Linked DNA regions of Cricetulus griseus. The protein of the gene in region 6 binds, or shares a complex with, the protein of the main gene of each other region. Links are inferred from orthologs where the notes say so. Each region holds a gene or a part of one and is shown on either strand. Other genes may lie near its edges. The genes, in order: Rrn3, Polr1b, Polr1h, Polr1c, Polr2h, Taf1c and Taf1d.

The links.
Region 1: Taf1c (region 6) and Rrn3 share a complex: the UniProt entries of both Homo sapiens proteins name them as parts of the pol I pre-initiation complex. The link is inferred for Cricetulus griseus from reciprocal best matches to the Homo sapiens genes TAF1C and RRN3.
Region 2: Taf1c (region 6) and Polr1b share a complex: the UniProt entries of both Homo sapiens proteins name them as parts of the pol I pre-initiation complex. The link is inferred for Cricetulus griseus from reciprocal best matches to the Homo sapiens genes TAF1C and POLR1B.
Region 3: Taf1c (region 6) and Polr1h share a complex: the UniProt entries of both Homo sapiens proteins name them as parts of the pol I pre-initiation complex. The link is inferred for Cricetulus griseus from reciprocal best matches to the Homo sapiens genes TAF1C and POLR1H.
Region 4: Taf1c (region 6) and Polr1c share a complex: the UniProt entries of both Homo sapiens proteins name them as parts of the pol I pre-initiation complex. The link is inferred for Cricetulus griseus from reciprocal best matches to the Homo sapiens genes TAF1C and POLR1C.
Region 5: Taf1c (region 6) and Polr2h share a complex: the UniProt entries of both Homo sapiens proteins name them as parts of the pol I pre-initiation complex. The link is inferred for Cricetulus griseus from reciprocal best matches to the Homo sapiens genes TAF1C and POLR2H.
Region 7: Taf1c (region 6) and Taf1d share a complex: the UniProt entries of both Homo sapiens proteins name them as parts of the transcription factor SL1/TIF-IB complex. The link is inferred for Cricetulus griseus from reciprocal best matches to the Homo sapiens genes TAF1C and TAF1D.

The regions. Positions count from the first base shown.
Region 1 is NW_023276807.1:74,978,884-74,982,383, reverse strand, and holds part of Rrn3 (RNA polymerase I-specific transcription initiation factor RRN3), read right to left. Parts: intron 2,493-3,500; coding exon 2,362-2,492; intron 1-2,361. UniProt on the Homo sapiens protein: Required for efficient transcription initiation by RNA polymerase I (Pol I). Required for the formation of the competent pre-initiation complex (PIC).
Region 2 is NC_048599.1:49,457,757-49,461,256, forward strand, and holds part of Polr1b (DNA-directed RNA polymerase I subunit RPA2), read right to left. Parts: intron 1,656-3,500; coding exon 1,484-1,655; intron 797-1,483; coding exon 515-796; intron 1-514. UniProt on the Homo sapiens protein: Catalytic core component of RNA polymerase I (Pol I), a DNA-dependent RNA polymerase which synthesizes ribosomal RNA precursors using the four ribonucleoside triphosphates as substrates.
Region 3 is NW_023276806.1:228,752,316-228,756,252, reverse strand, and holds the start of Polr1h (DNA-directed RNA polymerase I subunit RPA12), read right to left. Parts: upstream 2,801-3,937; 5' UTR 2,758-2,800; intron 1-2,757. UniProt on the Homo sapiens protein: Core component of RNA polymerase I (Pol I), a DNA-dependent RNA polymerase which synthesizes ribosomal RNA precursors using the four ribonucleoside triphosphates as substrates. Can mediate Pol I proofreading of the nascent RNA transcript.
Region 4 is NW_023276806.1:255,712,608-255,716,577, forward strand, and holds the start of Polr1c (DNA-directed RNA polymerases I and III subunit RPAC1), read right to left. Parts: upstream 2,801-3,970; 5' UTR 2,709-2,800; coding exon 2,640-2,708; intron 2,525-2,639; coding exon 2,453-2,524; intron 240-2,452; coding exon 132-239; intron 48-131; coding exon 1-47. Other genes in the region: protein YIPF3, read left to right, coding at 3,009-3,089, 3,645-3,842. UniProt on the Homo sapiens protein: DNA-dependent RNA polymerase catalyzes the transcription of DNA into RNA using the four ribonucleoside triphosphates as substrates.
Region 5 is NC_048597.1:67,932,157-67,936,399, forward strand, and holds the start of Polr2h (DNA-directed RNA polymerases I, II, and III subunit RPABC3), read right to left. Parts: upstream 2,801-4,243; 5' UTR 2,459-2,800; coding exon 2,386-2,458; intron 1,409-2,385; coding exon 1,325-1,408; intron 1,080-1,324; coding exon 986-1,079; intron 1-985. UniProt on the Homo sapiens protein: DNA-dependent RNA polymerase catalyzes the transcription of DNA into RNA using the four ribonucleoside triphosphates as substrates.
Region 6 is NC_048596.1:196,237,590-196,241,830, forward strand, and holds the start of Taf1c (TATA box-binding protein-associated factor RNA polymerase I subunit C), read right to left. Parts: upstream 2,801-4,241; 5' UTR 2,732-2,800; coding exon of another isoform or gene 2,693-2,731; intron 1,900-2,692; exon of another isoform or gene 1,885-1,899; 5' UTR 1,884-1,884; coding exon 1,746-1,883; intron 441-1,745; coding exon 359-440; intron 220-358; coding exon 122-219; intron 51-121; coding exon 1-50. UniProt on the Homo sapiens protein: Component of the transcription factor SL1/TIF-IB complex, which is involved in the assembly of the PIC (pre-initiation complex) during RNA polymerase I-dependent transcription.
Region 7 is NC_048597.1:128,814,751-128,818,830, forward strand, and holds the start of Taf1d (TATA box-binding protein-associated factor RNA polymerase I subunit D), read left to right. Parts: upstream 1-1,280; 5' UTR 1,281-1,570; intron 1,571-2,734; 5' UTR 2,735-2,744; coding exon 2,745-2,815; intron 2,816-3,216; coding exon 3,217-3,592; intron 3,593-4,080. UniProt on the Homo sapiens protein: Component of the transcription factor SL1/TIF-IB complex, which is involved in the assembly of the PIC (preinitiation complex) during RNA polymerase I-dependent transcription.

The DNA.
Region 1 (3,500 bases), on a different chromosome or scaffold from region 6:
TGCCACCCACCCACCCACCTCCAGAAGCACTTACTACAAGGCAACCCACAGCCATCACTACCTTAAGATCCAGAGAGGACAATAGCAACCAAGGAATGGAATACCCACTCAACAAAGACCAGACCAGATATAAACACCAAGAATCTCCTCAATCAATCCCAAACCCTGGATGGCTAAACACCATTGTAAAACACAAATATTAACAGTCAAGACAATACGCCTCCACCAGAACCCAGTAGCCCTGCTAGGGTAGACCCTGAGAAATGCAACACAGCTGAAGCACAAGACAAAAACTTGAAAACAGCAATTATGAATATGTTCAAGAACCTTAAAGACATGAATAAATCCCTTAACGAAGTCTGTGAAAACACAAACAGTGGAATAAAATAATTAAAACAGTTCAAGACATGAAAGTAGTAGAAAAAAAAAAAAAAGGCCAGGTGGTGTAGTGCAAACCTTTAATTACAGAAAGAGAAAAAAAAAAAAAAATCTTGGGTTAAGTCTAACTAAGCAACTGAAAGACTTACATAAAAAAAGCTTTGCACACTGAAGAAATTACCAGAAGATGGAAAGATCTCCCATGCTCATGGATCAGTATGATTACTATAGTGAAAATAGCCACTCTACAAAAAGCAGGGTTGTTGTGAAATATTTGCACACTGTGTGATTGGTGTAATGGTGTAATAAAGAGCTGAATGGGTGATGCTAGGCATGAGGTATAAACGGGATTTGGGGGAGAGAAAGGAAGAGGAGGAATCTAGGCACAGAAGGAGACACAGAAGAAGCAGGAAGGGCAATATGTGACAAAATGCAGATTAACAGAAATGGGTTAATTTAAGTTATAAGAGCTAGTTAAAAATAAGCTTAAGCTAAGCCAAGCTTTCATAATAATAAGTCTCCATGTCATTAATTTGGGAGCTGGTGGTACAGAAAAAGACTGGTTATGCAGAAGAGCTAAAGTGATCCTGAATAATAAAAGAAGTGCTGGAGGTGTCACCATCCCCAATCTCAGATGGTCCTACAGAGTTATAGTAATCAAAACTGCATGGTAATGGCACACAAACAGAAATGTTTATCACTGGAATAAAACTGAAGATCCAGATAAAAACTCACACACCGACTGACAAAGAAGCCCAAAATATACATTGGAAAAAAGTATCTTCAACAAATTGTACTAGTCAAGTCAAACTGGATGGCTACATGTAGAAGAATGCAAACAGATTCATATTAATTGCCCTGCACAAAACTCAACTACAAATGAATCAAGGACCTTAACATAAGGACAGCTACTTTGAATCTGATAAAAGAGAAAGTAGGGTATAGTCTTGAACTTATTGGCACAGGAGAAGACTTTCTGAACTGCACAGTGATAGGAAAGGCACTAACAGTAATGGAACATCATGAAATCAAAAAGTCTTTAATACTAGCACTCCGGAGGCAGAAGCAGCTGGATTTCTGAGTTCAAGGACAGACTGGTCTACAGAGCAAGTCTCAAGACAGTCAGGGCTACACAAAGAAACTCTGCCTTGGAAAAACAAACAAACAAAAAGCCCCACAAATATCTCTGGGGTCTGCAGGCCAGGGATAGCCCAGTTGGTAGAGTTTGTTTCCCTTGTAAGAGCTGGGTGTGACTCTCGGTACCACCAGAAGGAAGGAAAAGGGCACCATCTAGTGACCAAAGGCAGAATACCACCTTCAATGTATCTGTACAGTACTTGATGCTACTCCAGTTTTTAAGGGGAAAATTGTGGGATAAAGTAATAAAAGAGGCTAAAGAAACAGGCTGGGGATTAGGAGCACATACTGCTCCACAAACAAACAAACAAACAAAACAAACAAACAAAAATACGGAAGTTCACCTGCAGGGAATCTGAGGCTTTTTTTTTTTTTTTTAAATGTTTTTTTGGGCAGAGTTTCTGTGTAGCTCTGGCTATCCTAGAACTCATTCTGTAGACCAGGCTGGCCTCCAATTCAGAGATCCACATAGGTGTGAACCACCACTGCCTGGCGTGGGGCCCTCTTCTAAATGCTATGGTCACAGGTACTCACACATACCCACACACGAACATGCATAGGTACTGGGGCCCTCTTCTAAATGCTATGGTCACAGGTACTCACACATACCCACACACGAACATGCATAGGTACTCACAATTTTAAAAAAATAATAAACTTTTAGCTGGGCACGGTGGTACATGTCTCTAATCCCAGCACTTGGGAGGTAAAGGCACTCAGATTTCTGTACTCCAGGCTAGCCAGGATTAGATGAGACCCTATAAATCACACATTCACTCACTCACTCACTCACTCACTCACTCACTCACTCACTCACTCTCACTACGGCCATGCCATTTTACTTACCAATTTGAAGCTGCAAAGGAAAAACATGAAGAACTGTACATGGCAGGAAGCATGTGTGGGCAACAGGAGTTTGTCAAAGATGGATATCAGGTCACGGTATAAATCCTTTGTTTTATTGTTATCAATCTTACCTACAGAGAAAATTCAAACTTTAATTTCATAAATACATTTTTAGGGTTTTTTTTTTTTTTCAAGACAGGGTTTCTCTGTGTAACAGCCCTAGTTGTCCTGGAACTCACTCTGTAGACCAGGCTGGCCTGGACTTGAACTCACAGAGATCCTCCTGCCTCTGCCTCCACAGTGCTGAGCCTGGCCATAAATATGTATTTTAAAAGGAACACTATACTATTGAGAATCAGCATTTGAGCCGGGCAGTGGTGGCGCACGCCTTTAATCACAGCACTCTGGATTAAAGCCAGTCTCCAAAGTCACAGAGAAACCAGAGAAACTTGGAGGGGGAGAAACAGATTCAGCATTTGGGCCAGAGCTGAACATTCATGACACTGAGGGGGGAAACCCAAACAAAAGTAACACCCCCAAATTATCCATTAAGCTATGGTTACAACAGTATTTAAACAAATGGCTTTACTTTCTGTATGTATACACCTTCTGGACAAGGGTCCTAGGATCACTTAGGCTGGGCTGCAGTCAGAGTCATCTCAATGGCTCCAGGCTGTTTTATTCGGTATAATCCCGTAGTGATAAGCAAACAAGCCTGTACATCACACACTGCTGTGAAGCAACAAAAATGATCTTTCCTATTTGGGGGGCAGAGGTGGGGGTGGGGGACTGTTGTTCAAGTCAGGGTTTCAGTGAAACAGCCCTGGCTGTCCTAGAACTCACTCTGTAGACCCGGCTGGCCTAGAACTCAAGAGATCCACTTGCCTCTGCCTTCCAAGTGCTGGGATTAAAGGCGTGCACCACCACCACTCAGCATTTCTTTTTGTTTTTCAAGACAACTGTAATTCATTATGCAGTAAAGGCTGATCTTGAACTCATGCTCTTCCTGCCTCTACCTCCCACATTCTGGGATTACAGACGAGCACCACTATGCCACACTTCCAAATCTATACTGAATAAACTCATTATTTTATTTTGTTTATTTCCAGACAGAGCTTCTGTATGTATACCTACCTATC
Region 2 (3,500 bases), on a different chromosome or scaffold from region 6:
CTTTTAAATCACAACAGGAAAATCCCAGGAATAAACCATTAGAAAATACTCAAACAAAAAGATGACATCTGAACAATGACTGAGTTTTCCCCAAGCAGAGACAGTGGTTGCATGCTACCAGGAACAAAGGTCAGTGATCTATGGCATCAGCTATACTGCATAAGCTACTTTTTAATTGAACTCCCCCAAACCAACAATTTTCTACTTAGAAATTCAAAGATCTACCAGGAGCACAGGAGAGTGACCCAGAAATTTATACAGCAGCACCTAACTTTGAATGTTAAGGCTGTCCTATTAAATATCTTGCTCTTGTTGTATTACAAAAAAAAAGGACAACGCTAATGACATTTAACTTACTTTAGCTCCAAAGAATGCATGAGAAAGCAGCCAAGAAAGCAGCCCAACCCATGCTTGGAGGACTGAAAGAGAGTTCTCTGCTGAGCCCCAGAGAGTGACTTCAGTGTTTGATGCTGGTCAAAGCCATGAAACCTAGCAGGACCTTCAGTGTCCATACCTAAGCCACAGAGCAAGGCTGGGACAGATGCTGTGTACACAAACTTCGTGACGACCTCACATATGGCAGTCAAGTGGTTCAGCAACCCACACGGTGCCCCGTCTGGGGTATGCACAGGGCAGAGGAAGCCCCAAGACTCTGGCAGCAGCCTGCGCACTGTGGTGGTCCTCATCTTGGCAAAGTCGGCCCCTCTGTGCACACAGCGGAAATGGGAGAGATAGCGAATGAAGTTCAGCTTGTCAGCCACAACACACAGGCCAGAATCTTGCAGGAAGCCGAGACCTTAATTTAAAAAAAGTTACTCAAAAACAAGCCAAAGTCTTTGTCAAAAAACCCAAACTGTCTGTTTCTAATGTTTTGATAAAATGACAAAACTTCAGGGCTGGGGATACAGCTCAGTGGTAAGAGCATCTGCTTAATATATGAATGGGCCTTGGGTTCAATTTCCCAGTACCAACACACACTCACAATTTCGTAACACACAGTATTAGTTCTGATAAATGGAAAAAATTGAATTAGATTGGTCTGAGAGCCCTGAAGCTACGCAAGCACATGCTGGCATGCTAACAAGAGAAATCAGTGGCATCTGTCCCTAAAGTGAAAGCAGACTTTGGGAACCCAGTTGTCCTTTTTATTTTCCCAGCTCATTCCAATACAAGTGGGTTAGGGAGGGGCGCAGATCCAAACCCTTCCAGATCACAGTGGTAACCCCGCCCCAGACGAATGTGCTCATCTGCTTCCTAGCAGTCACCAAATGCATTTGTTTACCAGCACTGATTTACAAAAATAAGACACACTGCTGAACCCTGAATTCAGGTTGGCAGACATGAGTCAAAATTTACTAAATCATAAAATCTGGCTTCAGTGAGGGTGAGCTTACTCTGGAATTCTGCAGCAACATTTTTTTTTTTATCATAGTAGGCACATAATCAAAAAATATATAAATATGGCCTATTTGCTTAATTTTACCTGTTTTTGAACGCAGATTCCCAGTAGCAAGAAGATATTCAAATGGTCTTGTTAGCTCTGTTCCCATGCTAAATATCTTCAGCAAATTTTCATTGTTTATGGACACATTGGTCTTCTGAGCCCTCTTATCTAAAGCTATTTTAATAGATGCTAGCCAATTTTCCATTTTTTCCTAAAAGAAGCAAACGTTAAATTTAAAGTAGTGCACGCCTTAATTATCTCAAGTACTGTATCTACCTCCACACAATCTACACAATCCAGAATCAAGGCCCATTGTTTACACATGCAACAAAGGATGCGTCTTTTGCACAGTCAGGGTTGTAAAAGACAGACCTTCAAAGTACAACTGAAAGGTCAGGCATTCCTAAAGACAGAGACAGGAAGTCTAGATCAGGGGCGTGTAGCAAGGTATTTGATTATACCGTGTAAAGATATGCCACTGTGATTTAATGAAAAGCTAAATGGCCAATAGCTAGGCAGGAGGTATAGGCGGGACTTCCAGCCAGAGAGAGGTCTGGGAAGTAAAGGGGGAGTCACTAGTCAGAGGCAGAGGAAGCAGGCAGTGCAGGAGGGGAGGTAAAAGACATGAACCACATGGCAGCACGTAGATTAATAGAAATGATTAAGTTATAAGAGTTAGTTAGAAATAAGCCTAAGCTAAGGCTAGGCTTTCATAATTAATAAGAAGTCTCTGTGTCATTATTTGGGAGCTGGCTGGTGGGACAGAGGAAGACTCATTACTGGGGCTAGAGATTGCTCAGTGGTTAAGAGTGTGCACTGCTCTTGCAGGTCACATAAACAGTTCCCAACATCCATGTCCTCCAGAACACGGGATCTAGATAGTGGACCTAGCCCACCAGGAGCCAGACTCACTCCCAATTTTACATTTCTGTACTACATCCAGAAACTTTTTCTCCATTATGACACATTATATGCCCCAACTACAAGCCCAAATAAATCCTTCCCGCCTTAAGTTAGTTTCTGTCCGGCATTTTGTCAAAGCAACAAAAAAGTAACTAATAAAAAGTGTTGCAGCCAGGCGTTGGTGGTGCATGCTTTTTAATCCCAGTACTCGGGAGGCAGAGGCAGGCGGATCTCTGTGAGTTCAAGGCCAGCCTGGTCTCTAGAGCGAGTGCCAGGATAGGCTCCAAAGCTACACAGAGAAACCCTGTCTCGAAAAACAAAACAAACAAACAAAAAAAAAGTGTTGCAAACTGATTTTAGGAAGTAGTTGAACTTGAAGACATAGGTCAAAAAAAAACAAAGAATAACTGGTATCCCAGGATGTACTTTTATGCTTAGTCATTAGTGCTATGACCATGACCAAGATCTGATGTTACCTTGAGACTATATAAAAAAAATATTAAAAAGGACCAGACAAGAGGATTTAAATTAGATGCCAGCCGGAGCTGGTAGAGGGAGACCTTGTCAAAACACCAAATAACAAGAAATCAAATATTGGCCAAAGATGACTCAGTGAGTGCTTGGCACATATACAGAAAGCAGGGCATGGTAGCCCCCTCCTGTAATCCCAGTTCTGATGAGGCAGAAATAGGTAGATCCCTGGAGCTTGTTGGTCACCCACAGCTCAACCAAATCAATGACCTTCAGGTTCAGTGAGACCCTATCTTAAAAAAAAAAAATGCCCGAATACATGTGCACACACAAGAACAGGGACACACGCATCAGGCTCACATACACAGTTTTCAGAAAATGAAGTAGAAACAGGTAATAAACATTAAGAAATGGGCAGCACCACCAGTCACTGGGAAAACGCACATAGAAACAACAGTGAGACTCTATCACAACCAATCAGAATGGCAGTCATCAAGGAAGTAAATGACACAATGGAGAGAATACAGACAGGGGGCACCCTGATACACTGCTAGTGGGAACATGAACTAGTTCTGCCATTGTGGAAATCAGTATGATGGTTCCTCAAATACTAAAAACAGGCCCACCACCGGGCACTGGTGTCGCACGCCTTTAATCCCAGCACTCGGGAGGCAGAAGCAGG
Region 3 (3,937 bases), on a different chromosome or scaffold from region 6:
TCGGGCGGGGGCTCAGGGGCCGGGCTCCAGGCCGGCTCACTTGGTGTTTGCCCTCGTGCCGGCCCACCTGGTGCTCGTTCTCGGGCCAGCCCATCTGGTGCTCGTTCTCGGGCCAGCCCACCTGGTGCTCGTTCTCGGGCTGGGCGTGCGGCTGGTGGCGGGGGAAGTGGAAGCCGCCGGGGGTGGGGATCGGGGAAGCCGCCGACAGGAGGAAGAGGAGACAAACTTGAGAAAGAAAGGGCTAAGGGGCAGGGGTCTTTCACCTTAAGCACACAAGAAACATACAGGTGGCTAGGTGAGGTCTCATTTCTGTAATTAATTTTCAGCCTGACTGTAACTGGTTTTAACTTAGTAAAATATTTGAAACTTAGCACAGCTGAATTTAAGACTGCATAGGGTTACATTATAGTCCTTAAACAGTAGCTACAAGTACACATTTTAGCTGCTTGCTCAAATGAGACAGGGTTTTTCTGTGGCTTTGGACCCTGTCCTGGAATTCAATATGCTGGACCAGGCAGGCCTTGAACTCAAAAAGATCCATCTGCCTCTGCCTCTGGAGTGCTGGGATTAAAGGCGTGTGCCACCAACACCCTAAACTTAACTTCTGAAAAGATAAACATCTTATAATAGATTAGCAGCTTTTATAAAACAAGAATTTTACATTGTCAGGCTTTGCTTAAAAATAATTTTAAATTGAAGCTCTTTAAGTACAAACATTAATAAAAATAAACATTTAAAAAACTGGTTTTAAAAAGAAATTTAAATTCCCTTAATATCTTTCTGTAATATATAGAAGCATTAACACTTTAAATCTTAACTGAAAAGCTTGTTTCTAAGATGGAACCTCTAATTTCCACGCGGTCATCTTTAGTCAGGATGGCGGTTTAAGTATCTTTTTTCAACTTCAGCAAAATGGCTGCCAGTCAGCCATGTGACCAGTTTGCCATGTGGCTGGTTACAAAATGGCCATAACTTGCACCCTTTGCTTAACATGCTTGTAACAGAACTTAGGTTATACCAGGAAAAAGAACATTTTAAAACAAGTATACATAAATTACTTGAGAAATAAACAGGACTTTTTAAAAACAGAATTAGCTTAATATGGTTAAAATTTTAACTTATATTACCATTTTTAAAATTTACTATTTGTTGACATGAGAAACCATAGCAAACAGTTTACATTTTTCTCTTTTAATAATCTCTTTTCTGACCTTCTATGACTTGCTTTAACTTTCTATAACTTTTTATAGTTCTTTCCTCTGATTTTCTTAGACATTCTTAGACAAATTTTTCTTTTTCCTTTTTCTCTTTATTATTTAAGTCTCCTACATTTTCTCTCATTTCTCAGTCAATGTAAAAATTTTTATCAAAGTCCCTTTTACAGTTTTTAATAACTTTTAATAACTTTAAGGCCTTTTTTTTTTTTTAGAAGTCCGGATCAGGCCAGATAAGTTCATACGCCCCAGCTCCATGTGCTCAAGGCAGAGACCTGGGGTGGGGGTGTTGGTGGTAACCCCAGACCCTTGGCCAATGCAGGGGTGGGATAATGGGATAAAGACCCCCTCGGTCCCCCTGCATACCATGTGTGTGGAGCACAGAGAAGGCCGAGCAGCCAGGCAGATGGCGGGCCTTGCAGCCATGTTCCCTCAGAGCAGGGAAACTCCCTTGGCAGGCAGGATGGCAGCTGGGGCAGAAACAGCCCCACTTGGCATGCCTCACAGACCCGCAGGTGGGGATAGAAAGGGGGTGGTGTGGTGGATCCTGAATTGAAAACCAATGATGATAACACAGAATAGACAGGAAAGAACAGACGCCAACCCAATCCGCCCGCGCCGCTTATAAGGCAATGGCGACGGAAGATGGGCTGCAGAACCCAGCGGCTACAATCATCACTAACTGAGGAGGATCCAAGTCCTTGGCCTCCGTTCGTACCTCCTGGGTGTCCTCAGAGCAGCAGTCTGTCCTCCGGGCGCATCTGCTGATCACAGTTGAGGTGGCATCATGTGCTCAGAGCATCAAGAAAAGACCCCTGACCCATGCATTCCATGTGCATGGGCAGTAGGGACAGAAAGAGATGTTTAACACAGACTAGGGTCCTATTCGGAATTTCAGATGGCTAGCCCCGTGGAGATCAACTTGGTTCGAAACCAAGTCTCCCCTATAGATTTCGGAAGGCTGCCGCCCGAACTTCCGCCTTAAACAATTCTTGTAGGCCTACTCACAGATGTCGCCAGAAACCCCAACATAGGACCTCCATATCCACAAAATTAACAGAAATAGTAAAATTGACACACAAGCAGACGGTTAGGGTGTGGGCTGCAACAGATCAGATAACAGATAACAAACCTGTTGCTCAACTGTTCAGTCACCCAGCCCATTCCAATCCTCTAGGCTTAACAGACACCAACAGCAAAACAGGACATCAGACAGGACAAACCCTGTGGCAAAGAAATGGTGCCCCAAACCAAAATTACAAACAACCCTTGGACTTCATCCAGGGCGGAACCAAGGATTCCAGAAATACGTCTATTTCTGTGCACGTCTGCTTACCCTATGGTTCAATTCAAATAGCCCTCGGACTTTTGTCCAGGACGGGACTTTGAAATATGTCTATTTCCCCCTGAAGTCCAAATTACAAATCACGAGTCCTGCGCAGGCTCAGATCAACAAAAGAGCAATTTCAAGTGGCACCAAACCAACAAAAACAAGCAAACATATAACATTGAACATATAAGTTGCGAGCTCGAATCATCTTACCTCCAAGATCGAATCCATTCAGGTGAAGGGTGGTCGCAAATCGCGGACGAGCCCCCAAATGTTAGACCCCCCGGAAAACTCAGGTATCCGGGGTCCCAGGCCACATTCTCGGTCACCCCAATCACCAGGCGGATTCGAGAGCTTGATGCAAACTGCATGAGGCTTTATTGTAATTTAACAAGCTAACCCCATGTTAGCTCGGGTCTTTTACCCACCCGCCGTGGCAGATGGCTCGCAAAAGACAGCTCCTAGGGTCTCCCAAGAGATCTTACAGGGCAGCGTAAGGGGAGTGTCTAGGGGTATGCACAGGCTCACTATTGGTGTGCCTCCAGCCTTGGAGGGCTTGCCCTGTGTTGATTGGCCAACTGGTTGTTATGGCCCATAGGCCCTCCCAGGGTGGTTGCTATGCTTTGTGCGTCATTGCTGAGTGCTTATCCATAAAGCACACCCTGGGTCATAAAGTATAGCGCCACCAGCTAACTTCTGATTGGTTCCTTGTCTCGAGGCAGGCATCTGACTTTCTAGTGACTAACTTCTGATTGGTTCCTTGTCACTAGGCAGGCATCTGACCTCTAAGTGACCAAGACAAGGTTATGGCAAGCATGTGTTCGGCTGTTATGGCTGCTGAAAGGGAAGCTGGTCCCTTCACTATCAGTCTCCACATGAGTTCATGCCCATGCAGAAACACCCACATGAATATCCAGAGCTGTCTAAAGGGTCACAGCATCAAGAAGGTTGAGAACCACTGCTCTAGTAAGTGAAGAGAGTGAAAATGCTAGACTTAGGAGTCAGAATGGAATGGTGAGAACCAATTCCTGGAGAAATGATCTGAGAGCAAGGACATCATTTTCCAGCTATGGGAAGGAAAGGACCAAGCAGGATGCAGGATTATGAAGTCCTAGAGGAAACCCCTAGCCTAGGACCTCAGATCAGGAGGCATGAGAGAAAACATTTTCTTTAAGCTTGGTAGGTTGGTAAATGCCTGTAATCCCAGAGCTTAGACAGGATCATTTGGAGCCAGAAGACAGTGGGCTTCGTAGTAAAGCCCCGTAACAACTCAGGCTGAAAAGTGGAACATCACCATACTCCAGAAAGCTTCATGTACTCCCACTCATAGCCACCTCCCGGCATCCAAGAATGTATTTCTAAGTGGTACTATTTGCAGTTACATTGTGGGGAT
Region 4 (3,970 bases), on a different chromosome or scaffold from region 6:
GATGTGTTATTATAAACCAGAACCTTTTCCACTGCCATTGTTGGCACCTGTTCAAAAAAGCAGAATCATCCAACTGCAACACCAACTGATCTCCCTACCTGGAAATAAGAGACCCACACGTCTTCTTTTACCTCAGCTAACAGAATTCTCCGGAAAGCATTAGCAATGGCAGCATCAATTCCCACCATGTCGAACTCCAGTGTATTTTCATCCATATGAACAACATCCACACGGAAATTCTAGAGGGATAGAGAAAAAACTGATGGAACACCTGTTTCTCTTGTGTAATTCAAGCCTCCCTCTGTGATTACTCCCACCCTGGCAATGTCCCTCCATGTATGTCCACCCTCTCTCATCCTAAAGCCTTCCTGTGACCAGATGATCACTAGACTTTTGTCTTCAGCCCTGTTCTTGAGTTTTGTAAGAAGCCTGGCTGGTTTTCTTTCTTTTTTAAATTAAAAAATAAGGGGGGGTCTCCCTACCTTGCCCTAGCATTTCTGGAACTATCTATGTAAACCACAATGGCCTCGAACTCACAGGAATACTTACCTATCTTCTATGGACTAGGATCAAAGGTGTACATCACTAAGACCCTAAGCAAAGCCGGGCATTGGTGGTGCACACCTTTAATCCCAGCACTGGGCGCGCGCGCGTGGGGGGGAGGGGGACACAGGCAGATCTCTGTGAGTTCCAGGCCAGCCTTGTCTACAGATGGAGTGCCAGGATAGGCTCCAAAGCTACATCCTGTCTCAACCCCCGCCCTCTCCCCAAAAAAGACCCTAGGCAATATGGCTCCACAAAAACAACCCACAGAAGCTGCTACACTGAAGAGCAGAACGTCCCACACTGCTTAGACAAGTTAGTCCTGCATTTGTTTTTATTTTTCAATCCCTCTTTTTTCAAATTCTACTCCCTTGACTTTTGAACACCAATTTAGTTCTCTTATCTGATATTCTAAATTCTTCCTCTCACCCTGTAAATGTTACTTTCTCCCAGGTTCAAATCTCTTGGCTGACCTCAATCACACTCCTGGCTTAAGCAACTACTCAGCAACTCCCCAAACTTGGGTTCATTTTGATCTCACTTCAGGCATCATTCACTTGACCTACAGACTTCACATACAGGAATTTGAACATATTATCACTCTTTTTCTCCTGTTTATCAACTGACACAATCAGCCATCAAGACACTTCCCTAATGGAGCTGACGAGATGGCTCAGCAGTTAAGAGCATTTGACTGCTCTTACAGAAGAACTGGGTTTGGCCGGGCGTTGGGTGGCGCACGCCTTTAATCCCAGCACTCGGGAGGCAGAGGCAGGAGGATCTCTGTGAGTTCGAGACCAGCCTGGTCTACAAGAGCTACTTCCAGGACAGCCTCCAAAGCCACAGAGAAACCCTGTCTCGAAAAACAGAAGAAAAAAAAAGAAAAAAGAAAAAGAACTGGGTTTGGTTCCCAGCACCCACACTGTGGTTCATAACCATGCATAACTCCAGTTCTGGGGACCTAACTAGACCTCCCTGGGTCACCAGTCACACAAATGCACAAATATACATGCAGGTAAACACATAACCCCCCCCCCAAAAAAAAAACTCCTTAAATTCCCCACATCACAAGGCCCTTTTTCACACACACACACACACACCCCTCACCAAAGCTATATGGTACATAGCTGTTAGTTCTCCTTTTGCTCCATTTCCACTACCAGTGGAATTTATTCATTCCCTCCCAGCTATGAAGGTTACAAAATTAGATCAGTCTACTGAAAAATTCTCTTTAAGCCAGGCGAGGTAGCTCATGCTATTAATCTCAGCGCTCAGGAGGCAGAAAGGCTAGTTTCATGACAGCCAGGGATACCCAGAGAAACCCTGTCTCGAAAAAAAAAAAACAACAGAGCTCTCTATTAACTTGCAGAGCTTAAGATAACACCCCAATCAGGGACGCGAGTTTAAATTTCCAGCACTCAACACTGTAACTGACAACAGGATCCGACACCCTCACATAGATTCGGACAAAACACCAATGTACATAAAATACAAATAAATTTTCAAAGAGAAAAAGATAGACCCCGGTCTTGTCTACCACTCGGGCCAATGTATTGACATCTGGCGATAATGAACTGCTGGAGCAGGCTCTGCGCAAACAAGCGTTTGCAACAATGCTCCAATTAGGCCTGCACGGCCTAACTGTTGGCCAGTCTTCCTTCACTGACCCGAGTCTCCGTCTCTCCGACGGACCGGATTAAGTCACCTACGGGATTCCTCTCCCGCACCCCGGCCGTGCTCGCCGCTCTTGTGTTTCACCGGGATCCCTTGATCACGTGGGCCTTCACCCCACCCGGGCGGCCTGGCCACCCAGCACCCAGCACATGGATGGCTCAGCACACGTTTTTGGAACGCGGCGAGCGTGAGCCGTCTGGTCCCCGGGCCGCCGGGACACCTCCCGCGCACCCACCTTCTCGAAGCGGTCCTGGTCCCAGGCGTCGTCGTAACCCGAGTAGTTACCGGGGAAGTCGGTGGTGTGGACCTAGAGCCAACAGATGTGTTCAGCGGGGCGGTGAGGACAAGCCGCAAGCCAGGTCCCCTCCCCTCCTCCTCCCCCATCCCGCCCCCGACCCTCCCGAGTTCCGCTCCGAGCTCACGTTGCGAACCCCGAACTCTCCCAGAACCACGCGCGTCCGCATCTCCTCCACGGCCTGGGCCGCCGCCATCGTCCACCACCCGCCTCGAGACGCCTCCGGTGCGCGCAGGCGTACTAGGGGCCCGTTGCCGTCTCCCTGGCAACGCCCCGCCTCCTGAACTTATAAATGTCGCGATATCCTGCCCCGCCCCGTCCACGTCCTTCACTTCCGGACGTCAATTGGGGCCAAACATCCGGGTTTCTCCTGTTTGCATTCCGGCTGATACTACCTCGCCCTCTCTCTTTCCTGGACGTTTCCTCCTTCTCTCCGGCCCGGGTCTCACGCTGGTCCCACGCCCGCGAGCTTCAGCGACGGAAAGCCTCGAGGGACATGGCGACTCCCGCGGCGCCGGCCAGCGGCGTCCGAAACGGAGCTGGCCCGGAGTGGGGAGGCTTCGAAGAAAACATCCAGGTATGGAGCGGTGTCCCGGCTGCCGGCAGCCCCCGGGCTGGCCGCCGTCCCCTCTCGCGGCCTGGAAGTCGGCTCCATTGCAAGTGGTGGCCGCTGAGTCTCCCACGCCCAGGTCTGTAGCGCTTGTGCTGAGGAGGAAGGGCCAGGCCGAGGCTGCAGCGGGCCTCGGGTCTCCGTGGCTGGGCGGCCTGTCTGGGTCAGGCAGGTGCAGGGCTAGAGGGTAGGATTGATTCCCTGGAGCCCCTAAAGGTGGCCTGTGTGCACATAGGCTTGCTTGAAGGTGGGTGGCGGCAGGTCGGCCCCGGTGCAGCACTTCGAAGCTTTGAGGGGGAAGGTAGGAAAACAACGTGAATTGAAGATGAGTAGTGTGTTTTCTGAACCACAAAAGTGTGGCGACAAGAGTTGTGCCAGCAGTGACAAGGAGGAGTTTGGCACGATGGGTAGCAATTCCAATGTCCTCATCAGTGGGAGAGCAAAGCCTCAAACCGTGCGATGAGCAGAGAGCAGAAGGGTGCAACAGAAGGCCCCGCTCTCTAGCAGCCTTTGTCTTCACAGGGCGGGGGCTCGGCCGTGATTGACATGGAGAACATGGATGACACGTCAGGCTCCAGCTTCGAGGACATGGGGGAGCTGCATCAGCGCCTGCGTGAGGAAGAAGTGGATGCCGACGCAGCTGCTGCAGAAGAGGAGGATGGCGAGTTTCTGGGCATGAAAGGCTTTAAGGGACAGCTGAGCCGACAGGTGGCTGATCAGGTAAGCAGATGGGAAAGTGGACCCATGTGTGTCCCAAGGTGACGTAGGTTTTCCAGGGAGAACCACACAGAAATCTGGCAAAGGCTGTGTAACGTTAACAGTCTAGAGCCACCAGTTTCATAATACCC
Region 5 (4,243 bases), on a different chromosome or scaffold from region 6:
ACATTTAAAAATGGAAACTGAGCCAGGCATGGTGGCACAATCCCAGCACTCAGGAATCAGAGGCAGAGGCAGAGACAGAGGCCTGTGAGTTTTCGGCCAGCCTGACAGTCTACAGAGTAAGTTCCAGGATAGTCACGGCCACACAAAGAAACCTTGTCTCGAAAAACCAAAAAGATAGAAATAATTAAAATAGAAACTGATAACAACAAATGCCATGGAAGCGCAACCTTATTTGGCTTTCACATCAATTCAGTGAACTAGAAATGACTGTCTGTACTTTATTGATAAGGAAATGGAAGATGGAAGTAGTGGAGCTGAGAAGTAAAAGTTCAGTATATAGTCATGGCTGTCCTAACTGGCTATGTAGACCAGGCTAGCCTCAAACTCACAGAGGTCTCCTGCCTCTGCCTCCTAAATGCTGGGATTAAGTGTGTGTACCACCAGACCCAATACTCCACAGTCTTTCTGTCACACCAAAATCTAGGTTACTATGTAATCATTTTCTAGGCCTTAAAAAAGCTACATTTGCAGGGTGTGGTGGTACATACCTTTAATTCCAACACTGAGGAGGCAGAGGAGGTGGATGTCATCTGTGAGTTTGAGACCAGCTTGGTCTACATAGTCCAGGCCAACCAGGACTACAAAGTGAGACCCTGTCTCAAATAAATAAACAACTGCAGTTCACAAGCTTCCACTCACTGCTCTCACTAAGTAATCAAGCCAGTTGTTTGAAATTTTTTTCAAATTTTTTAGAGACAGGGTCTCCAGCCCAGGTTGGTCTCAGATTTGATGTGCAGCCAATGGTGTTCTTGAACTCCTCATCCTCCTGCCTCATCTCCCGAGTTCTGGAATTACAGACACAAACCATCACACCCAGTTCTGGTTGTGTGAATTCTAAGTGCAGTAATGTCTTTTTCTAGCAGTAAAATAAAGACCATTCTATGTACTACTTATCTATTTAGTCCCTCCTTTACCACCGCCTCACCTGGAAGGCCTGTCATCTGTGGGGTTGTATTCACCATCATCCAAGGTACCATCTTCATACAAAGTACTAGCTATGACCAATCGGAACTTGTCACCTGAAAAGAGCATCAAGCGGAAACCAAAGATAAAAATCACTTGCTAAAGCCAGTCGTTGGCAGCACATGCTTTTAATCCCAGTACTCAGGAGGCAGAGGCAAGCGGATCTCTGTGAGTTCGAGACCAGCCTGTTCTACAAGAGCTAGTTCCAGGACAGCCTCCAAAGCCATAGAGAAAACCTGTCTCGAAAAACAAACAAACAAACAAAAAAATTCACTTGCTAGCTCCTGTGTTGGACACTTACCCAAGTCCACTGGGTAAATCTGAATGTTCACGTCTAAGATGAGGTCCATCTTGAAAGATTCACTCTCACAGTGCAGCCGAGATACTGGGAAAGAGCGACAGACATAATTACAGGCAACAGAGTCGGGGTCGAATGCAGGAGAACAAATCTTTCAACTAGTCCACAGCCATTAGCCTTGCTCTGGGACACAGACACAGAGTGCAATCCAAATCAGATTCAGAGAAGAAAGGGAGTAAACACCTCAGCAAGTGTCAGGATCCCAAGAAAGAAGCAGAACTTCTCTGGCAGCAACCCGTCTCTAGGCTCTAAGCACACCTGGATGATTTAGACTAAACTCAACTCTGAACAAGATAGTCATTAGTCCAGAGATCCCCACTTCCTAGTAGGCACTCTGCGGAGGGAATAGGCAGGGTGTATTGAGAACTGACACCTGTCTTTAAAAATGGGGGGGGCACGCCTTTAATCCCAGCACTTGGGAGGCAGAGGCAGGTGGATCTCTGAGTTCAAGGCCAGTCTGGTCTACAAAGCAAGTTCCAAGACAGCCAGAGCTACAAAGAGAATCTGTATTGGGGGGGGGGGGGTCTGTCTCCAGGTAAAGTGACACTGAGAAGAAACAACTTCCGGATTACTGGGAAATGAATACACCAAGCAGTCAGCTGCATGAAATTTATAGAGGACTCGGCAAAGGGCTAACAATTCTTGGGGCAATACAAAACTATGGGTTAGGAAGACAGGGAGGTAACTCGCTGCACGGCCTTAAGTAACAAAATAGATCGGGCACCATCACTTCTTACTACAATACTTAAGTGTGCGAGAGAGGCGCACGGTACATACAGCACGTAATACTGAATAAGGAGTCAGAAAGGTGTCCAGGGCTTTCCCAACCCCAAAGCCAAGGGCCACCGAGGCACCAGACACCGCAAACATCATAGGAAAAGCTGTCCCAAGTTTCTCATTATGAAAAACACTGTTTCCTGAGGGAGGTACCGAGAGGGTGGGACGGGCCACTTGGGGTGGGTGGGCATGTTTGGCCTCTTCCTCACCTCCCCTACACACCTTACCTCGGTCAAATTTCTTGCCTTCTGGGTCAATGTCTTTCACATCAAAAATATCCTCGAACAGGATGCCCGCCATCGTAAGGGGCACGAGAACTGCAGAGGTGCGGAGCGCGCGGCCACCACTGGGAATTCGCGCACCCCCTCACGTGGAGAAAAGAAGACAGGGCAGAGTACCGCCCCAAAAAGCGGCAACCAGCCGCAGGGCGCATGCGCACAGGCTTCAGCAACGCAGCCACTTCCGCTGCCTCCCCTCGGGGCTCCTTCACTTCCGCCGGGAAAGGCCACCTCGGAGTGGCTCGGACCTTGTGGGCGAGTCTCAAAGCGCGGTGACTCCGCCCAAGGCGGGGACAGACTAAGTCCCACCCCCGGCGGGTACCGCGATGCGCCCGGCTCTAGGGCGCCCTCTTCAGACCCCGGATCCCGATGCTTGGAAGGCTCCGGGACCGGACCCAGCCAGGAACCTTGATCCTTGGCCCAGAGGGAGCCCGGCCCTAGCCCTTCCCTGCGGTCCGCGTGCCCGCCGAGGGCACAGTCCGTGCTGCAGGAGGGTGAAGCCGAACTCCACCCGCAGAGCGCCCGCCCAGCGGGACGCAGTGCCCAGCCCCTCGGACGGCCACCAAGGTTCCCCACGCTGGTCCGAGCTGGCTCTGACCAGCTAGACGTCACCCGAGCCGGGTCCGTCCGGTTTGGGAATTTGCCGTGATGTCACTGTCAGGGAAAGGAAAGCCCGCATTGTGCCCTCGCCTGGGGCTTCACCTCCTCGCCACGCCGGTCTTCCCTTGGCCCTGCTTGGCACTAACTCTGATCCCCTAGAACACTGCCAATTGAACTTGGTACTGCCTGTCACCCCACTACACTACCCTCTTCTGGACACTGATCCAGTGCGCTTCCACCCGACACTGGCCTTTCCCTGGGAAACGACAGCTCGCAGCGCGCTCTTTCCAGGTGCTATCTCCTTTCATCGCAGCCCCCGTACTGGGCACCGTACGCTCCCCTTGAGCACCACCCTCTGTTTGCTGAATGAGTCTTCATCCTGATGCTGTTCTTTCTACACGGATTTCTGGGCACCGTCCTCTCCAGTGGCACCAACCTAACGCTGTCCATCCTCTTTGTGCCAACGCCACACTGTTCTTATCCTTCCAAGGATCCCGAAAGACAACGTAGAGCTTCACTGGGCCGCTTCCTCGAGGCGTCAGCAGCTACTCAAGTTCCCCCTTTAAGCGATGCCTGGGAGGAGCGACCTCTGCTCCCCCACGCCCGCCTCCCAGGAGCAGCCTCCCCCGCACCAATAGCTCCCTTCCCTCGGGCCTCACCCCTTCCCGTCCCCTCCCACCTCCACCTCCGCCCCGATCTCCAGGCCTAGCAGTTCCAGGTGCACCTTCCCGGGGGAACCCGGAGGAAAAGAAGAAAGGAGGAAGGGAGGCGATAAGGGAGCGGGCTCTCAGGAATCCTCCCAGACCCGTCTGAGCCGCCAGCAAACGCGAAGCAGAGGCTGCCCCAGTCGAGTCTGGCCTGGAGAGCCCGAGATAGCTCGTCAGCAGCCCCCTGCCCCAGCCCTGGAGTCACTACATCCTCAGCCCCTCCCGCACAACGCTGCAGCCGCCCGAGAGCCCGTCCCCTCCACGTGCCAGCGGACCCGCCCCCGTCCGGCCCCGCACCCTCTCGGGGCCGGGTCAGCCCCCGGCCTCCCCAGAGAAGGGGTGCAAGATCGCGTTGCAAGCGCCCCCTGCCGCTTCTCCGGAGGCCAGGAGGCGGCTCCAATGCAGACCCCAGCCCGACCGGACGCCCCTGCAGATGGGCCAGGGCGGAGCAGCAAGCAGGGCACCGCCCTCGGCCCGCCCGCCAAGGAGGGGACGCTAGC
Region 6 (4,241 bases):
CCCAGGGGTGTGAAGGCTATGTCCCCATGGTCCCACAGGAAGCGGCTGAGCTGTGGGGAATGGTTGTGTCACTCAGCACAGCCCAGGCTGTGCAGCACAATCCCACCCAGGGACCACTTACCTGCTCAGTGACATCCAGCCCAACCTGAGGCCGGAACTGGTAGCGGTGACCTCCCCGGAAAAGGAGGTCCCGAGGGGTCATGCCAGGTTCCCAGGGATCTAAGGGGAGAGAGAGGTCAAAGAAGAACCTGAGAAGGCAGCATGGAAACACAGTGATATATGGAGGTATCCAGGATCTGGAATGTATGTGTGTCTGATGGCTGAGGTCCTTGGAGGGAACCCAGAAGGAGACCCTTACCAGGACCAGGAGGCAGCAGGGGGAGGGGTCCTGGTGTTGTTGGCTCCCACAGCAGGTTCTTGGCCAATGGCAATGTCCCATCCTAGGGGAACAGGACAGCAATAACATGGCAGGGGTGCACTCTTTGACTAAAACTCATTCAGTCCTCATGACAGCTCTGCAAAGTTGGTCACTTCACTGATGTAGAAACTGAAGCAGCCGGGTGGTGGTGGCGTACGCCTTTAATCCCAGCACTGGGGGGGGGGCGGGGGCAAAGGCAGTCGGATCTCTGAGTTTGAGACCAGCCTGGTCTACAAGAGCTAACAAGTTCCAGGCCAGGCTCCAAAGCCACAGAAAAACTCTGCCTTGGAACCCCCCGCAAAAAGAAAGAAACTGAAGCATAAGTTTGCTGTCATTTGCCCCAGGTAAGAGTCAGGAAAGAAGGCAGGGACTTAAACCCAGGCAGCCAACTCCAGAATCTGTATCCTAAAGTCCATTCACACCAGCTTCCACACCCATGCCTTGTCTGTGCACCCAGAACCCAATGAGCTAACTCAAGGTCCAAGAACACCCCCTCCTTCAACACCCCCTCTTTGACCCACTCTCCTGTATGTTGATAAGGGCGGTCCTTCTGTGTATATGTTTGTCTTATTGGTTGGTAAATAAAACACAATTGGCCAATAGGAAAGCAAGATAGGCAGGACTAGGAGAGGAGGAGGATTCTGGAAAAGAGGAGTCGCCATGTGATCCCCCAGGAAGAGAGGACAAGCATAAGGCCGGCATCCTTGGTAAGATATGTCCTTATAAAAATAGAGATTGGTAGTTATGGTTGATAATTAAGACTGAGCTAGCAGATAAGAAATCCCAGTCATTGGCTAGCAGCATTGTAACTAATATAAGACTCTGTGTGTTATTTGGGGGCCCTAAAAGGCAGCAGAACTCAGGCAGCTGGTGGAAAGAGATATCGTTACAGTATGTACTCAATTCCACAAGGCAGCTGGGCAGCTAACGAAGTCCCAACCAAGATGCCAGCAGAAATCCTGCCCCCTTTCCCTGCCATTCCACTGTTCCAGTAGAACCAAGGCCACACTACACAGTGTCTGCCTGTTGGTACAAACTCTCCCACCTTAACTGGCAGTCCCCAAGGTGGGGTTGCCTAACTTCCTCATGCTGGACTATTGGGCCTGTAAGGACCCTGGCACAGAAACACTAGTCAGTAAATACCAGCTGAATCTAGGGAGAGAAGGAGGAAAGAGGAGCCACAGCCTCTGTTGATCGACTCTCTCTGGGTAGCAGCGTGGCCTGTGCACAGCAGGAGTAGCATCTGCCTAGCCCTGTCTATCATCTGTGCCACTGAGTCTTAATGATAAGAGGGGGACCAAAGGAAGTGCCCTATTTCCATCCTCACCTTGCAGTTCTGTGGCTGGGACCCTGGCATGGTCAGTGCATCTCTCCAGCTGCACATGAAGGACAGGTCAGGACCATCAGTCATGCCAAGAGGCCCAGCCATAAATAACGAGGGGCGCAGAGAGCTGGGGAAGTCCATCCTGGAGAAAATGCATCTAATGTCACACACATCTTCATTAGGAGTCTGAACAGTGCTACAAAGTCTACTACAAAGAAACAGGTAAAAACCAGACTATGCAGCCTAATGCCAGAGAGTAAGAAGGGCCTCTAGAGAACTGCTCACTCCCCCATCACAGGGGAGGTTGCTGATGGGCAGGTGAGGGGTCCCTACGGGTACTCAGGGAGACAGATAGCTCAGCACACATTTGGGTAGAGGGTCCAGGGGGAATGAGTGCGTGCAAAGGCTCTGAGGATCGAATAAAAGTAGGAACTCTCTAGAACAGCGGTTTTCAACCCTCTAGCACAAGGGCCACCTAAGACCATCGGAAAACACAGATATTTACATTATCATTCATAACAGGCTAAATTACAGTTATGAAGTAGCAACGAAAACAATTTTATTGTTGGAGGTCACTACAACTGTATTAAAGGGTCGCAGGCAACATTAGAGAGGCTAAGAACCACTGCTCTAGAAGCATTAGGGAGTAATCAGCCCACAGTTTAGAAAATTTAAATTGAACAACAGCACCCGCTGAGCACTACCACCAGCTGGATGCGGCATAAAGGTCCTGAATTTGAGGATCTGAGGAATCGGTGTGTGGTTAACTTGCTCACATGTGTGCCAGAGGGGAGACCCGGTCCCGAGACCGCCCGCCCTCATTGCAAGCGTCCCAGACCAGCCTCAGTGCTGGAACCCGCCTGCCCCTGGTTTCTGTAGCCTCGCGGCACCGCCACGTGCTCACATCATCCCCGCGCGCAGACCATGCTGGCTCCCGGCGGCAGTCTCACCTGATCCGGGGCCCAAAAAGGAGCCGGAGCGCCACTCATCAACTCTTCAGCTCAGAACTCGTGAGCATCCACAGCCGGACTGAACTGTTTTCCGGACCAGGCCGGAAGTGCTCCCGAGAAACAGGAAATCCCGCCCTCAGCAAGGCCTCACTGCGTTCTCCGGCGCTACCTGCCGGGCAGACAAGGAATAGGCGTGGTCGTGGCGCCTGAGGCGTGGAATTCCCATCCCGGTGTTGGATGATCCTGCTCTGCTTCATTAACTAACTATCTCACCGACCACCTCCGATGGGCCACGCACTGTATTTATTGTCCATAAATCCTAGGAATCCGCTTTTCATATGACCCTGGGCTCATGCGTGGCTTAAATCAGGGGCCAGGAAGGAGTATTAGGCTGTAGTCTTCAAACTCCAGCTTGCACCTGCGTGCTTTGGGAGACTTTCAAACTCAGAAGCAGCGAGTCGTGGGGGCTGCCTGCAAGTTGCTTTTGTCTTGTGCCTTTCACGTGAAACTTAGGATGTGTGGTTCTGCGGACCCACTAGGAAGCTAAGAATGTCTTCAGACAGATTTTTTTTTTTTTTTTTTTTGTGGTGCACACCTTTAATCCCAGCACTCAGGATACAGAGGCAGGTGGATCTTTGAGTTTGAGGCAAGCCTAGTCTACAGAGTGAGTTCCAGGACAGCCAAGGTTACACAGAGAAACCCTATGGGGGGGTGGGGGGGAGAAAGAAAAGAAACACAGGTTGTCCCGGGTGGTGGTGGTGCACGCCTTTAAACCAGCACTAGGGAGGCAGACAGGTGGATCTCTGTGAGTTCAAAGCTAGCCTGGTCTGCCCAGCAATAGCCAAAGTTGTATGGTGAGAACCTTGTCTCAAAAGAGAGGGAGGGAGGAAGGAAGGAAGGAAGAAAAAGAAAGAAAGAAAGACAGATCCTTATGTAACTTCAAGGTGAAGAACTTGGGGTCACAGAGAAAAACTTTCTTCCTATCAACACCTGGGAACTCAGAGCAAGAGTGGGTCCAATGCTAGCAGGGGAGGAATGAGCCTATTCACACCAGGGAGACAGAGGTCTAAGACCTGCATAGCTGAGACCCTACCTGAAAACTTCAGATAGAATTTTGAGACCTAAAATAGATGCTCCTGCTTCGCTATAACCTACCTACATGATGTTCCCTCCAATGTATTTGAAAACTGTTTTTGGGTTATGATTTCCTTTGTTCTGGAACTAGCAAAACTTCGCTAATCTGTCTCCTCCATGTAGCAGATTATCCAGGGAACTCTAAATCTGTGTTTCTGGGTGTTAGTCAGGGTTCTCTATCAGAACAGATGGATGAATATAGAATAGAGATTTTATTAGACTGGCTTACAGCTGTGATCTGGGTAGTCCAACAATAGCTGTCCATGACCCAAAAGGTGATGTTCAGTACATGAGGCTGGATGTCTTAGCAGTCCCTGTCTGGTGCTAGAGTCCTGTATGATTCCTGAAGAGCTATTGACTGTCTTTGTTAAAATTATAAAGAAGTTGGTTCGAATTTTGGTAAAGGAATGCTTCA
Region 7 (4,080 bases), on a different chromosome or scaffold from region 6:
TATGTCTGAACACTCTTCTCTGGTGAACGCCCCACAACAATTCTGCTCATTAAGTTCTTTTCTTTTTTCAAGACAGTTTCCTGGAACTCACTCTGTAGACCAGATTGGCCTTGACTCATTGATATCTGCCTGCCTCTGCCTCCCAAGTGCTGGGATTAAAGGCCTAGAAGCTCATTAAGGTTTTTTTATTTTTTTATTTTTGGTTTTTTGAGACAGGGTTTCTCTGTGTAGCTTGTGCTGGCCTCCAACTCACAGAGATTCGCCTGCCTCTGCCTCCAGAGTGTTAGGATAAAGAGTGAGGTGAACCTTGGCAGGTTTCATGGCGGGCGAGGTTGACCGAGGCCAAGGGACAAACATTCCAGGCAGACAGCTTAAATGAAGTTTTATTAGGAAGAGGCAGGCCAGCATAATGCCTGATCCTTACACCCAGTGCTGGGATTAAGGGCATGAGTCACCACCGCCTGGCAGTACACAACATAAAGATGGTAAAACTTGTATTAATAATTCTAAATTTTCCTTACTTATGGGGAAAACATAGTCTAGGCTGGCCTGGCAATCCTCCTTCAGACTCTCCAGTTCTGCGATTTGCCACAGTTCTCAGCTATTTGTCACTTTCGTTTTGAACAGGACCCTGCAATTTAAGTTTGCACTGGTCCTGAATGTGACAGTCTGAGATGCCTGTCTTAGAGCTTACAGCGAATGCACTGGCTGCTTGCAAGTACAGCAAGACCTTACTTTTAAGGCGTGTCCAATCATAAATGATAACAACTGTTGACTAAGGGCAAGCAGATCTGCTGGCTTGCTTGTCATACAATACAAAGGTGCAGCATGGAAAATAACTCAAAGCAGCTCACTACTGAAAAGAAAGTACTGTAGGGCTAAAAACTGTTTAGCCCTACACTGTTGAGTCAACTCAGGATCTGAAGGAGGAAGCCCATGCCTGCTGGAAGCTAACTCCTGAAGGGTGGGGTGCCCAAAGCACCTGGCACCCTTCCTCTGAGGGGGAACTCCGCACACAGTGGGCTCGGCCCCACAACATGCGGACGCTCACCTGACCCGCAGTGTCTTCACGCCTGCAGGAATGCCTTCTTCCCTTCACCTACCCAAGTTCAACGTCCTGCTCCCTTCCGCCAGCTCAAAGCCTAGGGGCGAGCCCGGTACCGCCTCTCGCGGAGGCCCCGCCCACTCCACAGTCCACGCACATAGCCACGCCTAGCACGTAGCCGCGCTCTCGTACCCACCCGCCGCTAAGAGCTCACGCGAGATCTCGGCCTGCCCTAGTCGGCTGCTGCGAGCTGGAACGTTCTTTTGGTCGCGGTGGAGGAGGGAGACGGGTGTGTTTGCGTTGGGCGCTCGGGTCTGGCGCGATCGGTCGGTGCGGGACTCGGAGACCGCGCGCGGGCCCGGGCTCTTTGGGCGGCTGTCCGCGCGCAGTCGGCGCTGTTGTCGGGTGAGGCGCAGCGGGCCACGCGTGGCTCCCGGTCGCTATCGGTCGCTGCCGGAAGGTTTTAGAGTGTCCCGTCGGGGCATTGTGCTGGTGCTGCCTTCCTAGGTCGAGAAGACCGCACAGGTAGGACTGATTTCTAGATAGGTTCCTCGTGTGTACTTGGCCATTACCCTTAGAATTTTCTCCGCTCTATCGTTGGTGCAAACGGGCCAAGTATGTTACGTTGCAATTTTGATGGGCTAATACTAAAAAACAATGGGGAATGGAGAAATGGCTCTACAGCTAAGAGCACCAGCTGCTCTATCAGGGGACGTGGGTTCAATTCCTAGCAGCCACGTGGTAGTTCACAACCATTTGTAATGGGCTCTGGTTCCTATTTCTGGTATGGGTGAAACCAATGCACTATCCGTAAAATAAGTCCCCTTTTAAAGGAAAAAAGTTAATAACCCGGGAGGTGGTGGTGCATTTCTTTAATTACAGCACTCAGGAGGAAGGCGGATCTTGAGTTCGAGGCCCCGCCTGCCTCTACCTCCTGGGGTTAAAGGCGCGCACCACCACCTGGCCAGTTGCGGCCCCTTTAAAGCTGCCTTGTGGGTGCTGGGAATTTAATCTGTCCACTCAAGAGCAGTCAGTATTCTTAAAGCTAAGCCATCTCTTCAGCTGACTCACCCTAGAGGTTCTATTGTTGGGATTACAGGCCCATTGGCCATTCGGGAAATTGAGGCATACACACTGAGTGGCTAAAAATTCAGCCTTCCTAGGGTAAACATCCGAATTAATGCTGTTTCACTGTGTGGCTGGCTGGTAGTAAAGCCACTCAGGTACTTTTGTTAAGTAGAATTAGAAAACACTGATTTGGAAAGTGGTCTCTCCTTTGCTTTCACTTGTAGATTAGAATTGAATGTGTGGGTATCCAGGAAGCCAGAAACATGCCATGTTGAAGTTGTGAGCTACCCAATGTGAGTGCTGGGAACTGAACTGTGGAAGGTTACACTTTAACTGCTGTGCTCCTCACGTGGATATTTTTTTTTTTAAGACAAGGTTTTTCTATATTGAATTAGAGCCTGTCCTGAAACTAACCTGGAACTCACAGGTCTGCCTGCCTCTGCCTCCCAAATGGCTGGGATTAAAGGCGTGCACCACCAACAGCTGGCTCACTTGGATGTTTTTAAAGATCTAAAGTGGACTATCCTTAGGTCGATTTTACCTAAAGTCACATGGTGGTATGGTGTATGTTGAACTTTTCATTAGAATGCTAGGTGCATCACACTGAAATTGTAATTGCAGAGATCGAGTAATGGCTCAATCAGAAGTGACTTCTGTTGACTGCATGACACCTGATAGAGCTGCAGACATTGGACATCAAAGGTAAGGCAGCTTTTGTGACTAAACACCCTAGAGTTGAGTCTAACTGTTCAGATTGACAGGTCTCAGTAGGTGGCCTCATTCAAAGATGATCCTGCCTATTTCTCCCAAGAGCTGGAATTAAAGGCTTATCACCACACCCATTTGAAAATGTTGGGTATGATTTTGGGGGAGCTGGCTTTGGAAGAAATGTACACTTAAATTTTTAATGTCTTCTCTTATGTGACTTATGAGTGAGTGCTTTGCCTACAGTCAGTATCATGTGTTCAGAAGAGGGTGTTGAACTCCATGAAACTTGAGTTACTAATGACCATGCTGCCTGAGGGTACAGCCTTGCCACTCGTGAATTGGATTGTTTCTAGTAACGACTCAGTGATGCAGTTTATTTTATTTTATTTTTTTAGCGATGACTCATCTGATAGCTTATTTAAAACACAGTACGTTCTTTCACCTACACGAAAGCAAAGAAACCCTACGACAAAACGTGTCACTTTACCTGCAAATGTTGACACTGACACATCAAGTGACTCCTCTATAGAACCAAGGCTTTTGACTTTAAAGGCTATTTTTGAAAGATTTAAGAAAAAGAAACGGAAAAAAAGGAAATACAAGCCAAAATTAAGACCAAGAGGAAGACCACCTGGAATAAAAAATGCTAGAAACCCTAGAAGGTCACAGATAGGTGTGAAGCAAATTAAAAACAAAGGAGCTGTGTTTCCATTCTTAGAATCTGAAAATGGAAGAAAACCCTTACCTTGGAAGAAAATTTTAACATATGAGGTGAGTCATTCTCATGTAAGTGAATACACTAGGAAATTGGAATGATTGTTGCCCCCATCTTTTCTTCCTGGTTTTTCCAGACATAGTTTCTCTGGGTTTGGGTGTTGTTGGCCATTTTTAATTTGAGGTCCACCTGGGACACATTTTGTTACTTTGACAATAAACAATGTGTTCTGTGTAAAGTCTGCTCAGGTTCCAGTGTTTCTGAGTGCACTGTTTTTAGTGTGTATACAAACTTAGAGAATAATGGTCCAAGTCTGTAAATGTACAAAATACCCTCATCTTAGTCTCTAAACTACTCTCAAGCATATCTTACCCAACTTTAAATTAAGTAGCCCATCAAACCAGTCATTTCAAAGTAAGCAGATGTTATTTCGTTCTTTTTATTTTTTATGTCATTTACTTTTTTGGGGGGGTGTTTCGATACAGGGTTTTCTGTGTAGCTTTGGAGCCTATCCTGGCACTCCTTTGGAGACCAGGGTGGCCTC